Linked DNA regions of Macaca fascicularis. The protein of the gene in region 4 purifies or fractionates together with the protein of the main gene of each other region. This does not show direct contact. Links are inferred from orthologs where the notes say so. Each region holds a gene or a part of one and is shown on either strand. Other genes may lie near its edges. The genes, in order: NAT10, NOL10, NGDN and AATF.

Region 1 (3,566 bases), on a different chromosome or scaffold from region 4:
CATGATGCACGAGTGCTCTCCGGTCAGATCATTCTGGACAACATAGAGGTTCAACTGGCACCAAGAACCCCGTTTTTTGAACAACCCATCATTGATGAAGGGTAAACACTCAGAGAAGAAAGGCTTGGTGCTTCCGCAGGCCTCTCCTTCTACCTGGGCTGGGAGAGGCACCCTTCTCAAACACAGCCCTCGCCTTCACCTTCCTCATATCACCTCAGTTCACATGCAAGGGCTGTAAAGATCACTGTCCTGCAATCTCCTCAAAAGCGTCACAGACACAGAGCAGAGGTGCTCACTCTTCCAGGCCTGCCTCTTGCTCGGGACCTGCGGGAGGGAAATACCTGTTCCTCTCAGGTGGATGCTGAACTCAGTCATTAGGGCTTAAGCTCCACACAATCCAGTCTACATGGGTTTGGTGCCTCACAGCAGGAACTCCAGGGACAAAACCTATATCTCAGTGCTGGCAGCCAGTCTGCAAGTGCAGGCTTCTTTAGGTGCTAAAATTGCGACTGTTTTTTTTTTTTTTTTTTTTTTTTTTTGAGACAGAGTCTTGCTCTGTCGCCCAGGCTGGAGTGCAGTGGCGCGATATCGGCTCACTGCAAGCTCCGCCTCCCGGGTTCACGCCATTCTCCTGCCTCAGCCTCCAGAGTAGCTGGGACTACAGGCGCCCGCCACCACGCCCGGCTAATTTCTTTTTGTATTTTTAGTAGAGACGGGGTTTCACCGTGTTAGCCAGGATGGTCTCGATCTCCTGACCTCGTGATCCGCCCACCTCGGCCTCCCAATTGCGACTGTTTTTACATTTTCTACTACATAACAACAAAGCCCATACCATAAAAACACCACTATCAAGTCACAAATGAACAGCGCACAGTACAAGACCACATGGACACACCACAGACCACACGGCAGCTCACTAGCCTGCATTCTCCTTGCAGCTGATGGCCGAATTTACATCCCCAGCCTCCACCAAACGCACCGACAGAGAACCAGCCCATCTCTGCGGCTCCCTGCCTGCACGGAAGCAGCCCAACACCCAGCGGTCCTCACCAGTCCCACTTTAAATCCTCGGACGGACACTGGACACTAGCCTCGGATACTGGCTTTGCCCTAAACCTCCAACACTTCCCTCTCAGCCGATGGACTCCCCTCATCTGGGAAGACAGAAGCACTCAGAAGAGAACGTCATCATCCTCCCATCCCCAAATCAGCCAGCCAACTGATGCCTTCCATTCCCATGCTCTCTGCCTTCCCTGGGTCCGAAGGATGAAGTAGGTGGTCACCTCCCTTCCTGAGTCTCGAGTCCCACCCACCACTTCCTCAAGGCCTGCACTCTGGCAGTCAGCCCCCCTCACCTATACCACTACTTGCAGAATCGAACCCAGCAGCAAACAAACATTCTCTACAATCCCCCTTTAGCTTCCATTTCCCTCCAGCGACCTTGTTTCTCTGCTCCCTTTCGCTTCCTGAAAGAGTCGCCTGTTCCCCTTCTAGTTCTTCACCTCCTCTTCCCTCTGGCCAGGCCAAAGCCTCCACTCCACTGCCGCTGCTTCAATGCAGCTCACTGCTGCTGATGAATCCAATGGCCAGCTGTCCTCATCCTCCTCATCCTCTCTACAGGGCTGACTCCCATTCCCACTTCTTCACCTCGACGTGGACATACCCCGACTTTCTCCTGCGCATCAGGGCTGTTCCTTCTCAGTCCTGTATGTGCTGTGTCCTCCTCCTCATTCCTCTAAATGTTAGGGTCCAAGGAGTCACCCTCATGTCCTTTCACTGGCTCCAGATATTTTTCTTTCACTCAACAAAAGCATTTACTGAACACATACTACACAGCAATTGCTACTCTAAGTGCAAAGAATACAGCAAGGAACAAAACAGACAAGAGCTCCGTGCCCTCGTGCAGTGCATTTTATTATGAATATGCTGATGGCTCCCAAAGCTCCATCTCTAGCCCCAAACTTCCCTACCTCCATATTACTGTAGTCAAATAAATGCCTAGTCCACATTTCCACTTGGATGTCCAATAGGCATCTCACATTAATGTCAAAAAAGAACTCCCACTCTTCCCTCCAAATCTGCTCCTTCTGCAGTGAGTCCCACCTCCGACAGCACCTCCAACACCCAGTTTCTCAAGCCAAAACTCTAGGAATTACCCTTGATCCTCCTGTCCACTCTCCTTCCTCAGAATCTGATGAACAAGTCCACGTGCACCTCTGCCATTTTATGACTAAGCACAAGGCATGCACCATGTAGTCGGGGAAGAAATGTGTGATGACATGGCTCGTCCCTGAGGATGGCTGTTTCCGTGTCCATCAGAATAAACCTCTTCAGAGGCACAGCCACCTGCTCAGAGCGACACAGCAGGGATGCACTAGGGCTCTTTGCAAGGACAGGCCTGTCACCTACCACAACGGCAAACCTAAACCTCTCCTCTGCTGGATGCCTCACTCACCGGGGTCTGTCTCAGATAAACAGGAACAAATCCAGCTCGTTTCCAGAACCTGCAAAGATACAAAGACAGTAGGTACTGTGTGTGTGGTCTCTGGGGAGCGGCTGACAGACACACAAGGGCAAGCACCAGGAGAGCAGGCCACGAACAGCAGGCTAGCACAGGCACCAGCTACCAACAGACACACAGCCCACAGAACTCTTCTTTCTCAATGCCAAGGAGTGATGCTGAGGAAGGAGGGCAGGCACTTACTTGAGGAGCCTGGGGGTCAAGCCATAGGAAACACCCAGGTAATCCAGGCGCTCAGCGGGCCTCTCATTCAATTTGAGGAGTAAAGGAGGCAGGTCCTTCCGGGGAGTGATGACCTCTTCCAGCAAGCTGACAGCCTGTGAAGATGCCAAGGAGAGAACACAGTCCACTCGACACAGGGAGAGAGACATTGTCAAGCAACCCTGCCACAGCTCACTCTGGACTTAGCACAACAAAAACTGGGAGAGGTTTCTTGGTTTGTTGCTGTGGTTGTCAAACTATGGGAACACCACAGTCAAGCAATCATTCCCACGTACACAAAATACCTCAACATGCATGGAGTCACACTGCTCTGGACCTCCAGAATGCAGGAAGACAGCCACAGAGTTTAGGAATGACTGACAGACGCTGGGAGTGGTGGCTCATGCCTGTAATCCCAGCACTTTGGGAGACCGAGGCAGGCGGCTCACCTGAGGTCAGGAGTTCGAGACTGGCCTAGCCAACATGGCAAAACCCCATCTCTACTAAAAATACAAAAATTAGCCAGACGTAGTGGTGTGTGCTTGTAGTCCCAGTTACTCAGAAGGCTGAGGCAGGACAACTGCTTGAACCTGGGAGGCAGAGGTTGCAGTGAGCTGAAATCATGCCATTGCACTCCAGCCTGGGAGACAGAGTAAGACTCCATCTCTTTGAAAAAAAAAAGAAAAGAAAAAAGAAATGCCCGACAGATTTACAAAGGGACAGACAGGTTCCTATGATCCAGCATGAAGTCCAGGTTCTATCACCTGACAGCCTTGGGAAGTGACAAACCTCTGAGCTTGAACTTTTTTTTTTTCATTGCTTGAGACAGGGTCTGGCTCTGTCA
Region 2 (3,566 bases), on a different chromosome or scaffold from region 4:
ATACCCCCTGCTCTGGCTAAAATAGTATGGCCTCGTTTTGTGTTCCTATAGTATATTTCTCATGACACATACACACACCACTGAAATAAAAACTTAGATGTGAAGTTTCCAAATTAAACATATTTACCTGCCCTGTGGATGTTCCAACTGCCATGGTCAAGGGACCATTAAATTTCAAAGCAGAGATTGTTGGTAAATTGTTTATCCTGAAAAGCAAAATATTCATGCTTCATGAATATATGGCCAAACCTCCTTCCAAGTAACAAGTTCATTATTAATCTTCACTTCAAATCTAATGGAGGAAAATCACATTTCTAGCCTTCTGTTTAAAAGGTAACTGCAGCCTGGTAAGATGACTCACACCTGTAATCCCAGCATTTTGGGAGGCTGAGGTGGGAAGATTTCTTGAGGCCAGGAATTCAAGACCAGCCTGGGCGACACAGTGAGACACCATCTCTACAAAAAAAAAATAAAATAAAAAAAAAAAAAAAGCCAGTTGTGGTGACGCACACCTGTTGTCCCAGCTGTTTGGGTAGCTGAGGCAAGAGACTGCTTGAGCCTGGGAGGTCGAGGCTGCAGTGAGCTGTTATTATTCCACTGTGCTCCAACTGGGACAACAGAGCAAGACCCTATCTCAAAAATAATAAGCAAATGGTAATTGTATTCAAACTTTCATAATCAAAATAAAATTACACTTTATATACAAAATGTAATCTACTTCTTTCTTCCATTTTAATTAAGCCAGAATAAGGTATTTACAGAAACATCCCCTTTTATATTTAAGAAGAAATAATTTTGTTTGGATATGGGTACACCATTTCCACTTTAAAATTAGCCAAGCTCAGCTAAAACAAAAGACTAATCCTCAAATGGGGACCCCAGAGCCTCTGAAAGTACCAAAGACAGAGTGAATGCTATGGCCACAACTCTAGAATATGCTTCTCAAATACCAATCAAGCCAATCAGCAGCAAAAGCAATGATCTCCAGTGGAAAGAGTGCTAGGCGATGAGTCAGATGTGGACAATATTGCTATCAATCCCATCGTCCACATGCCCTTGGCCCAGGACCTAGAGTCCTGGCTGTCGGCTCTTGTCATCATCAGATCTCTTCTGCCACCTAGAGCTTGAGCCTGTAACTGCACTGGGGCACCTACGGGAACCTTGAAGCCTCTTATCTACAGCAACTTTAGTCACTCGCTCTTCAAAGTACACTCAATCATTTCTTTCAGTACAGTGATAGATTTCTCTACTTATTCTTTTATCATTTTCTTCATATGCATTTTTTTGGAGACAGGGTTTCACTCCTGTTGCCCAGATTGGAGTGCAGTGGCATGATCTCAACTCACTGCAACCTCCACCTTCCGGTTCAAGCAATTCTCCTGCTTCAGCCTCCCAAGCAGCTGGGACTACAGGTGTGCGACACCACTCAAAGCTGATTTTTGTATTTTTTTTGTAGAGATGGGTTTTCACCATGTTGCCCAGGCTGGTATTGAACTCCTGACCTCAAGTGATCCACCCGCCTTGGCCTCCCAAACTGCTGGGATTACAGGTGTCAGCCACCGCACCTGGCCCATATATGTTATCGAGTTTTACAATTTTTGTTGCTATAAGAATGTTTTCCCATTTATAACCTTTCTAGACGGATAGTGCTAATAAATAACAAGGTCACTGATTTTTGCACATTTTATAACCAATTTATTTAACTGTTATATTAGTTCTTATAGATTTTCAGTTATTCTCCTGAGTTTCCCAGGCACAGAAACTTATGTCATCTGGAAATGGCAGCCTGCTTCCCCTATCTTATTACCTTCTCATATTGTGTTGGTTCCACCTAGAACTGACAGCTTCTAAGGTTTGTAGGTAAAACAAAAACAAAAAAACTAAGCATTAAAAAAAATAAAATAAAATTACCTAAAATCGAATCAGAAAAAAAACCCTAGTTTTAACATTCTGGTATACACCCAGGCTTCTTCCTGTGATTATGCTTGTGTTCACTGTTTTTCTGGTAACAAGGTGGCAACACTCTATAGGCAACGGTATGGTTTGCTTTTCCACTCACAGGCACATTTGGACCACCCTTCCCCAGTAACAAATATGCTTCTGCAACATAATTCTTAAAGGCTGAATAACAGGTATGCCATTGATGAGTCTTTTGTTCATCTGTAAAATAAGTATAATAACAGTGCCTATAGCAAAGGGCTGTCATATTAAATAAGTTAATATATGTAAAGAACTTAGACCCAGTACCTGGCAAATAGAAAGCACTATCTGTTAGCTATTATTTCTGCTAAGCTTCATTTAATCAATATCTGCAGGTTCTTTCTAAGACTTATTGTTGGCAGGGCTGTGATGGACTGTCCAGGCTGAGGAGAGTGAGCAAATGCATGCTCTGGGCACATGGGCAGACATTTAACTTGAGCTTATGTTTTCTGTAGGGCAATTTAGCAATGTACCAAAAACCTTCAAAACATGTATGCTATTTACTCCAGAAATTCAGGTTCTAGGTATCTTTTCTTAGGAAATATCATAAAACTGTAAATGGATGTATAATAGTGAAAACTCTTCTGGTTGTTTTAAATGTAGGAATTAGGGAAACAGGAACAAGAAAATATTAAAAAAACACTTGCTTCCTTCCACCTTAGAATTCAAAGCACACCTCTGTGGAGTTTGTGGTGGACTCCCAGTTCTATCACTAGATCCTACAAAATCAGAATATAAATTCCTGCAGTGTAATTGTTTTAATAAAATTCTACAGCAACTGAAGAAACAAGACCTTCTGTACAGTGTTTGGAAAGAAATTCTATCTGGCTTACTCACTAGTGAGCTTTCACAGGAGAGGACTTTTATGAAAAACAATCATGGAAAGTACAATTTCAGATACCCTTTAGCAATTTATTTGAATTTAATACAGATACATTACTGAAATCAAAAGTTGATGAAAACTGACATTGCAAATTAATTTCTACTTACTCTGAATCTGCTGTGACACTGTTTAAGGCGCAGTCTAACAGACCAACTCTATTTCGAGTTCTTGGGTCCCAGCACTCCACTCTACCCTACGCAAATGAAAAACAATTTAAAATAAAAGCTGTAGAAGGCCAGACACAGTGGCTCACGCTTGCAATCCCAGCACTTTGGGAGGCTGAGGCGGGCTGATCACCTGAGGCCATGAGTTCGAGACCCAGTCTGACTAACATGGCGAAACCCTGTTTCTACCAAAAATACAAAAAATTAGCCAGGTATGTGGCACACACCTGTAATCCCAGCAACTCGGGAGGCTGAGGCAGAAGAACTGCTTGAACCCAGGAGGCGGAGGTTGCAGAGAGCCGAGATTGCGCCACTGCACACCAGCCTGGGCAACAGAGTGAGACTGTCTCAAAAAAAAAAAAAAAAAGGCTGTAGAATAAAAATTAAATAAATAAAATCTGCTACTAGGAAATCCTTAAAACACATACAAAAATAAACCTAATTAACATTGTTTATTTCATAGAAAGTAAAAGTTTAACTGTTTACCTTATAACCTTTTTAGTACTGTTTAAGTGTTTTAACATGAGCTGAATTTCTTT
Region 3 (4,144 bases), on a different chromosome or scaffold from region 4:
TGTCACCCAGGCTGGAGTGCAGTGGCGTGATCTTGGCTCACTGCAACCTCTAACTCCTGAGTTCAAGCGATTCTCCTGCCTCAGCCTCCCAAGTAACTGGGATTACAGACAGGCACATGCCCCCATGCCTGGCTAATTTTTGTATTTTTAGTGAAGATGGGGTTTTGCCATGTTGGCCAGGCTGGTCTCGAACTCCTGACCTCAGATGATCTATCCGCCACAATCTCCTAAAGTGCTGGAATTATAGGTGTGAGCCACCTTTTTTTCTTAGCCAGGCCCTTTTTTTTTTTTTTTTTTAAAGACAGTCTCACTCTGTTGCCCAGGCTGGAGTGCGCTGGTGCAACTGTGGCTGATGGCAGCCTCGACCTCCTGGGCTCAAGCGATCCATTCACCTCAGCCTCCCGAGTAGCTGGGACTATGGGCACACGCCACTGCACCCAGCTAATTTTTTATTTTTTTGTAGAGACAGGTCTCACCACGTTGCTCAGGCTGGTCTCAAACCCATGGGCTCAAGCAATCCTCCCACTTTGGCCCCCCGAAGTGCTGCGATTACAGGCGCATATTTCAATTTTAAGATGCACATTGTTTTCATATTTTAACATCTCTGAAATCAGGATGCATGTTTCAGTCACTGGCATCTTGGTATTATGTCATGAGGAATTTTTTTTTTTTTTTTTTTTTTTTTTTGAGACAGGGTCTTGCTCTGTCACCCAGGCTGAATGCAGTGGCACAACCACAGCTCACTGCAGCCTCAACCTCCCAGGCTCAAGCAATCCTCTGGCCTCAGCATCCCGAGTGGCTGGGACTACAGGCACATGCCAGCATGTATGGCTAATTTTTAACTTTTGTAGAGACAGGGTCTCACTGTGTTACCCAGGTTGGTCCCAAGCTCCTGAGCTCAAGCAATCCTCCAGCCTCAGCCTCCTGAAGTGCTGGAATTACAGGCATGAGCCACCAGGCCCAGCCTGTTACATTTTTTCTTAATATACACAATAAGTGATATGTCCCAATTAATAAGTGTCTTAGATTAGATGAAATCTGAGAGTAACTCCTCATCTGGCCTACAATGATCTTCAGAGTGACTACTTTTCCAGTCTTATTTCCTACCCCCACCACACATAACACAGAAAGTATATCCTATCACAAAAACGGCTTTCTCCTTTCCCATAATATCACATACTTTCAGGCCTTTGTGCATTTGCACATGTTCCTTCTTTCTGTCCCTCCTGTTTATTCCTCAAAATCCTATCACCTCCTCTGGGAAGCCTGTCCTGAATCCCTCTGCTCTTCTGGCAGTTAATTAATCCCTCTCTTTGGCTGGAGACTCCTCATAACTCTGTAATGTGATTGCTACTATTAATACTTACGTCTATTGCTTTGCTTTGTCTTCCCACTAGACTTCAGCACAGAAACTGAATCGTATTTATGTTTGAAGCTCGAGCACTTAGGATATATAAGACACAATAAACATACAATGAAATAACTACTGAGAACGTTAAGTCAGGGGATGCTTACTGTTTGTGTACATCTTACCTTTTCTGTAGGATAGGCACCAGCTTGAACTTTTTGTGTCAGTGATTGCACTTGTGCCGTTATAGCCATCACCTGAAATTAGCCCAAATGAAACAACGGACTAGACTATATCAAATCATGTCTGCAAACTGTGAAGAGCAAAAGCTAAACAATGCCACCTAAAAATCATCTGAAACACTGTCTAAAGTATAGTACTATCTTCTCACTTCTGGGAAAGTATAGGAGAGATGGTCCTTCAAAAAGTAAAAAAAACAAAAACTTTCCATTTCTTAAAGAAGAGACCATCTTTTACTGAACCATAGGGAGGAGAAAAGGACTGGGACAGTAGTGACTGGAGGACTGTAATTTTGTTTGTACTGGCTGAACTTACAATACATAAAACTACAAAACTCCCCGACTTATGTCTTAATTTCCACTTTACAAGGGTGCAAAAGCAATATGCATTCGGTAGAAACCGTCCTGTTCTCTCGTGATGCTGGGCAGCGGCATCAAGCCAAAATTTTGACTTATGAGATTTTCGTATTACAATGGGTTTATCAGGCCATAACCTCCATCGTTAAGTCAAGAAGCCTCTGTATTTAAGTGTGTATTACCTGGGCACCCAACGGGCAAATCATGTTACCATTCCAAGCACTGGTTTCCTTAGCTGTATGAATAAGGGAAAACTATTCAGATAATTTCCTTTTTGGCGTTTCTTGTATTCCCTTGGGTGCAGAATCAATTACTTAGAACTCTGGCCTGGAAAGGTTTTCATTACATCACTTTACTCTTACGGTTTTTGGGAGCATTCATGTATCTCAATCACCAAAGTTTTGAGGTGAAGTACATAAAGTCAAGGCCAATCCATGACTAATTTATTCCAGAGGCGACACTACTCACTTGCTCCTGGAGATTTTTCAGAAGTGTCACGGCACTTGGCAGGTCTGACTCCAGCACCCCCTACAGAAGGGAGAGGAGGAGTAAAGAAAAGTCATTCTTTCCTCAGGATTATAAGAAGGCGGAACGTCTAGGTTGGGAAACTGCCCTCTCTCCGTCTGACACCCCAGACTCGGGGCCTTCACACTCCTCTTCACAGACTCGCCCTAAAGCCAGCCCCTTGAGTTACTGGACAGGAACAGTAACTCTAGGGAGGCCGCCTCCCTGAAGCAACTTTCATCACCACCCTTCCCTGGTACCAACAGTTTGCCTCCAGCCGCTGAAGGGAAAGGAAAACTCCACAATAGCTACGAGAGGAAGAAACCACATCAAACTCACCGGCGCCGCCATCTTCGCAAAGCCCACCCCTTCCGGTTCCGTACTTCCTGAGCGCTAAGGGCGTCTTGCTAGATTTGATAGACAACTGCCGCTTGCAAACCTAAGCCAATACGAATAAGGCCTTTCTCACTTCCGCCCTCAACGGGATAAACGAGAGGAGGAGTCTGATCTGGCCAATGGAATAAAGGAACTGGCTAAATTCGTCAGACTCAGCGATGTCAGGACCAAAAAAAAAAAAAAGCACTTGGCAAAGAGCGTGTGATTGGTAGACTGAGTAAAATGATTGACGGCAAGCCAATAAGAGATAGGCAAATAGTTGATTGACAGTTGGAAGGACCAATAGAAAAAAGGAATTAGCAGCGCGAACTTAGCGCTTATTGGCTCCCGTCCGCCGCAGAACCCAGAGTCTTTTTTCACGGCACTTTTCTTGTAGTGCCTGAACAGGCCGCTAGGTGACGGGCCTCGGCTTCGCTTTGCGGTGTCGACGTTGCGGAGCCGCCATTGCTGGCTGCTCATCCAACGGCCACCGCGCCAAATTCCTCACAGACCCGGTGGCCCTGGAATCGATTCTGTAACAATACTCCTTGTGTGACCGTGGACAAGTCACTCGGTCTCTGAGCTTTCTTCATCTGTAAATAAGAGAGCGGGGCCAGAGAAGCCCAGAGCCAGAGTAGAAACTGACTGCGAGGACACCTACTCTCTTGATGTGCACCGTGGGGCGCTGAGAAACGGCCCCGACACTCTTCGCTCCTACCAGTTGGGGACATGAAAAGAATGTTTTACAAGTTGGGGAACCGTTCATATTTACATGACTTACCCCGGTCACCCAGGTCTTCAGCAGCAGAACTTGGTTCAGACTCGAGCAGTGCATGTTTCAATATGACCTGCCTCATCATTACCCAATGCTTTCAGATGTGTTCACTCACTCTGGTTTTTCACAGGCTGGTGAAGTAGATTGGACGGATATTCATTGTTCCCATCACATGCCTTAGGAAATAAAGCACTGAAAGGGTGAATGATAGTGTATAATTTTTGTTCACAACCGTCTAGCAGAGCTGGGTCTAGAAATCAGATCTTCCTGACTTGAAGCTGCTTTTGGAATTAAGAATAACACCCGTATCTGGGCAGCTGGGGTGAGGAAATCCTGGTATCTAGGTCTTGCTGGAATCAAGAAAGCAGGAGGGCGTTCAGTCCCCACTCCTCTGACATTTATTTGCTGCTTCAGGCCTAGTGTGGAAGCTCAGGATGCTGTTGCAGCATACTTAGTCAATTATCCAGTAGCTTTTGTAATGTTTTATCAAGATTTGTATTATGAAAAGTTTCTGTTTCTACATAAATTTTCGGACCTGTCTAGTTA
Region 4 (3,566 bases):
TCTGTGTGTATCCTGCACCTCCCCTTCACTCTCCGCAGCCAGAATTGCTCAGGAGTCATGAATTATAGGCATCACCTACTTAGGAAAATTGTAGATAATTAATTGTCCTTTCTCTGTCTTTTATTTCCTAGGTCACAAGGCACTTAAAGCATTGTTGAGGTCATTGGTAGATCTTCAGGAAGAGTTGCTTTTCCAGTACCCAGACACTAGATATCTAGTAGATGGGACAAAGCCCAATGCGGGAAGGTAAGAGAACAGAACCATGGAGTTGCTTATTTTCTTTTCATTTGGATAGTTTCCCATCATTTATGAAGGAGAAAGCCAAGTTCTCTTCAGGCAGATATTAATGTTAGTAAAATAGAGTCTCATATTTCACTGGTGGTCAGGATGGCATGTAAGTTGGTGATTAGATTTTAGATTTTTATATTTAGTTGTACCTGATGTGCTTTGTGGTCTTAGACAAAAGACTTGCCTTCTCTTTAGATCTATTGGAATTAGAAGATAAAAGCACTTTCTTTTTTAGAGATGGGATCTTACGCTGTCATCCAGGCTGGAGTGCAGGGACATGATCACAGCTCACTGCAGCCTCAAACTCCTGGGCTCAAGCAGTCCTCCTGCTTCAGCCTCCCAAATAGCTGAGACTGCAGGCGCTTGCCACCATGCCTGGCTTTTTTTTTTTTTTTTTTTGTAGAGACAGGGTCTTGCTGTGTTTCCTTATCTGGTCTCAAACTCCTGGGCTCAAGCCATCCTTCTACCTCAGCTTCCTAAAGTGCTGGGATTATAAGCATGAGCCACTTCACTTGGCCAAAAGCACATTTTTAAAATATTAATGCTTAATTAATGTTGGTTTATGAAACATTCTGTGCCCATACCATATATTCCAGTCACTGGTCACAGCCATCTCCTTTGAATAAAAACTGTTATTGTGAAAGATGGAAAAATTTCAGAAAACAGCAAAATAATTATTTTTTCCCCCTGAAATTATTACATTTGATGAAGATTTTCCCCTTTTTATTTACACCTGCTGTATATACCTGCTTGCTTTTTTTTCCCTCGAGCTTGTCTTTTGTTTCATTTTTTATCTACTGAACTAGTTGGGAGGACAAAAAAGAAGCTCACATTTGTTGAGCACCTATGGGGGTCAGTAATCCAGTGAGTGCAATTGGCAGATAGTTGGAGGTTGTATTACATTGCCATGGCAGTTGCATAGATGGTACTGCAAGTTAGCGCTAATTCTGTTGCCTACCGCTTTGAGTTGTCTTCACGTTCAGCTTCTCTTGTATTTGATTCAACTAATATTATTCATCTTTCCTTAACAGTTGGTTACAGAGAGATACATTTCCCTTATTGATTTGGGGATTAAAGTTGTAGAAATATGATTGTATGTTTAATTTTTAAAGACTGTCCTATAATACTACAGGCCTGGTTCATACACATTTCTAGTAATTCTTTTAAAACCTCATTTATTTTGACGGTTTGCTTACCTTTTAAAAAATATTTTGAAACTAGTTCTTTTTATATTCATTTTAAAAGTTACATGAGGCTGGGCATGGTGGCTCATGCCTGTATTCCCAGCACTTTGGGAGGCCGAGACTGGTGGATCACTGGAGGCCAGGAGTTTGAAACCAGCTTGGCCAACATAGTGAAACCCCATCTTTACTAAAAATACAAAAAAAAATTAGTCGGGCATGGTTGCACACACCTGTAATCCCAGCTACCCATGAGGCTGAGGCATGAGAATTGCTTGAACCCAGAAGTGGAGGTTGTAGTGAGCCAAGGTCGTGCCACTGCACTCCAGCCTGGGTAACAGAGCAAGACTGTCTCAAAAAAAAAAAGCTACACAGGTTTTTGATTGATCTCATGAATATTTCTCAAAGAACAAAAGCCATCCTCATATCCTTGGTGTTATTTCAAATGGAGACAGAACAGGTAAGGCCTAAATATTCTCTGTCCTTCATGGATGCAGCTGGAAACCATCATTCTTAGCAAACTATCACAAGAACAGAAAACCAAACACCGCATGTTCTCACTCATAGGTGGGAACTGAACAATGAGATCACTTGGACTCAGGGAGGGGAACATCACACACAGGGGCCTATCATGGGGAGGGGGGAGCGGGGAGGGATTGCATTGGGAGTTATACCTGATGTAAATGACGAGTTGATGGGTGCGGCACACCAATATGGCACAAGTATACATACGTAACAAACCTGCACATTAGGCACATGTACCCTACAACTTAAAGTATAATAATAATAAATAAATTAAAAAAAAAATTCTCTGTCCTTTATGTGAGCCTACTTTTTAAAATTTAAGTAATGTTTGTTTACACTGGACGTAGTATTCTTACTGGTTTTCTAGTGAGGAGATTTCTAGTGAAGACGATGAGCTAGTAGAAGAGAAGACGCAGCAACGAAGAAGGGTCCCTGCAAAGAGGAAGCTGGAGATGGAGGACTATCCCAGCTTCATGGCAAAGCGCTTTGCTGACTTTACAGTCTACAGGAACCGCACACTTCAGAAATGGCACGATAAAACCAAACTGGCTTCTGGAAAACTGGGGAAGGCAAGTGTGTGTATGCATGCGTGTATGTGTAAGATAGGTTGTGGAAACCTGAAGTTTTAAGAAATTGGAACTACAGCTCATTTATATGGATGTTGTCATGATGTAATGGTAATCATTCATTTCTGTAGCAAAATCTACTGAACTTCTGGCACTGGGGTTTATACGATTCAGACTTGGGATTTTAACTTTATTAGAAAGAATGTTTTATTCTTAAAATTCAGGCCTCGTAAGTGTTCAAGTGCTGAAAATACAAATACTTTAAAGGAGTGGATTTCAAAGCAATAATTATTAAAGTATCAGAAGTTAATCTCCGAGTGTAGAAAAATGATATGACCTGCTTAAGACTTTTTTTTTTAAAGAACAATTATAGCCACTCACAAACTCAGTCCTTTACAGAAAGTCTCTCCTGAAAAAATGATTGTCTGTCTCTCTGCTGACACAGAAAGATAGAGAAACCAATGTAGCTGCCTTCAGCACTGATTTTCTGCATTATCTGACGCTACTTAATGTTGTTGCAGGGTTTTGGTGCCTTTGAACGCTCAATTTTGACTCAAATCGATCATATTCTGATGGACAAGGAGAGATTACTTCGAAGGACACAGACCAAGCGCTCTGTCTATCGAGTTCTTGGCAAACCTGAGGCAGCAGCTCAGCCTGTCCCAGAGAGTTTGCCAGGGGAACCGGTAAGAACTCTGTGATGCAGAATGATTATGGGGAATAGCTTTTATGAGGCTAATTAGCTGAAAAACTTGTAGCTATTACCTGTTTGTATAAGAGGTTAGTGAGAGAAAGGAAAGCAACACTACTTTACTGGATTACTGAGAGAACCTTGAGTATATGTGAGAGGAGAGAGTTTTTAAGAATGGGGCTTCTATTAGCTCCTGTGTGTCATCTTCTCTTAATTTCGAGTTTGATGCAGGAGTCTGGTAGTGGAAGCATTCATAGTCCAATTTTCAAAATTCAGTTTTAAAGCCACTTCTGTAGAAATGTCAGTATTGAAACA

The links.
Region 1: the proteins of AATF (region 4) and NAT10 purify together in Homo sapiens (affinity purification with mass spectrometry; 3 studies listed by BioGRID and IntAct, with this or other methods). This does not show direct contact. The link is inferred for Macaca fascicularis from reciprocal best matches to the Homo sapiens genes AATF and NAT10.
Region 2: the proteins of AATF (region 4) and NOL10 purify together in Homo sapiens (affinity purification with mass spectrometry; 4 studies listed by BioGRID and IntAct, counting the BioPlex papers as one, with this or other methods). This does not show direct contact. The link is inferred for Macaca fascicularis from reciprocal best matches to the Homo sapiens genes AATF and NOL10.
Region 3: the proteins of AATF (region 4) and NGDN purify together in Homo sapiens (affinity purification with mass spectrometry; 3 studies listed by BioGRID and IntAct, with this or other methods). This does not show direct contact. The link is inferred for Macaca fascicularis from reciprocal best matches to the Homo sapiens genes AATF and NGDN.

The regions. Positions count from the first base shown.
Region 1 is NC_088388.1:31,438,671-31,442,236, forward strand, and holds part of NAT10 (RNA cytidine acetyltransferase), read right to left. Parts: intron 2,839-3,566; coding exon 2,705-2,838; intron 2,505-2,704; coding exon 2,456-2,504; intron 34-2,455; coding exon 1-33. UniProt on the Homo sapiens protein: RNA cytidine acetyltransferase that catalyzes the formation of N(4)-acetylcytidine (ac4C) modification on mRNAs, 18S rRNA and tRNAs.
Region 2 is NC_088387.1:111,424,712-111,428,277, reverse strand, and holds part of NOL10 (nucleolar protein 10), read right to left. Parts: intron 3,057-3,566; coding exon 2,971-3,056; intron 458-2,970; exon of another isoform or gene 364-457; intron 207-363; coding exon 128-206; intron 1-127.
Region 3 is NC_088381.1:91,238,553-91,242,696, reverse strand, and holds the start of NGDN (neuroguidin), read right to left. Parts: upstream 2,819-4,144; 5' UTR 2,800-2,818; coding exon 2,788-2,799; intron 2,473-2,787; coding exon 2,413-2,472; intron 1,606-2,412; coding exon 1,534-1,605; intron 1-1,533. UniProt on the Homo sapiens protein: Part of the small subunit (SSU) processome, first precursor of the small eukaryotic ribosomal subunit.
Region 4 is NC_088390.1:44,011,871-44,015,436, reverse strand, and holds part of AATF (protein AATF), read left to right. Parts: intron 1-131; coding exon 132-246; intron 247-2,361; coding exon 2,362-2,563; intron 2,564-3,081; coding exon 3,082-3,246; intron 3,247-3,566. UniProt on the Homo sapiens protein: Part of the small subunit (SSU) processome, first precursor of the small eukaryotic ribosomal subunit.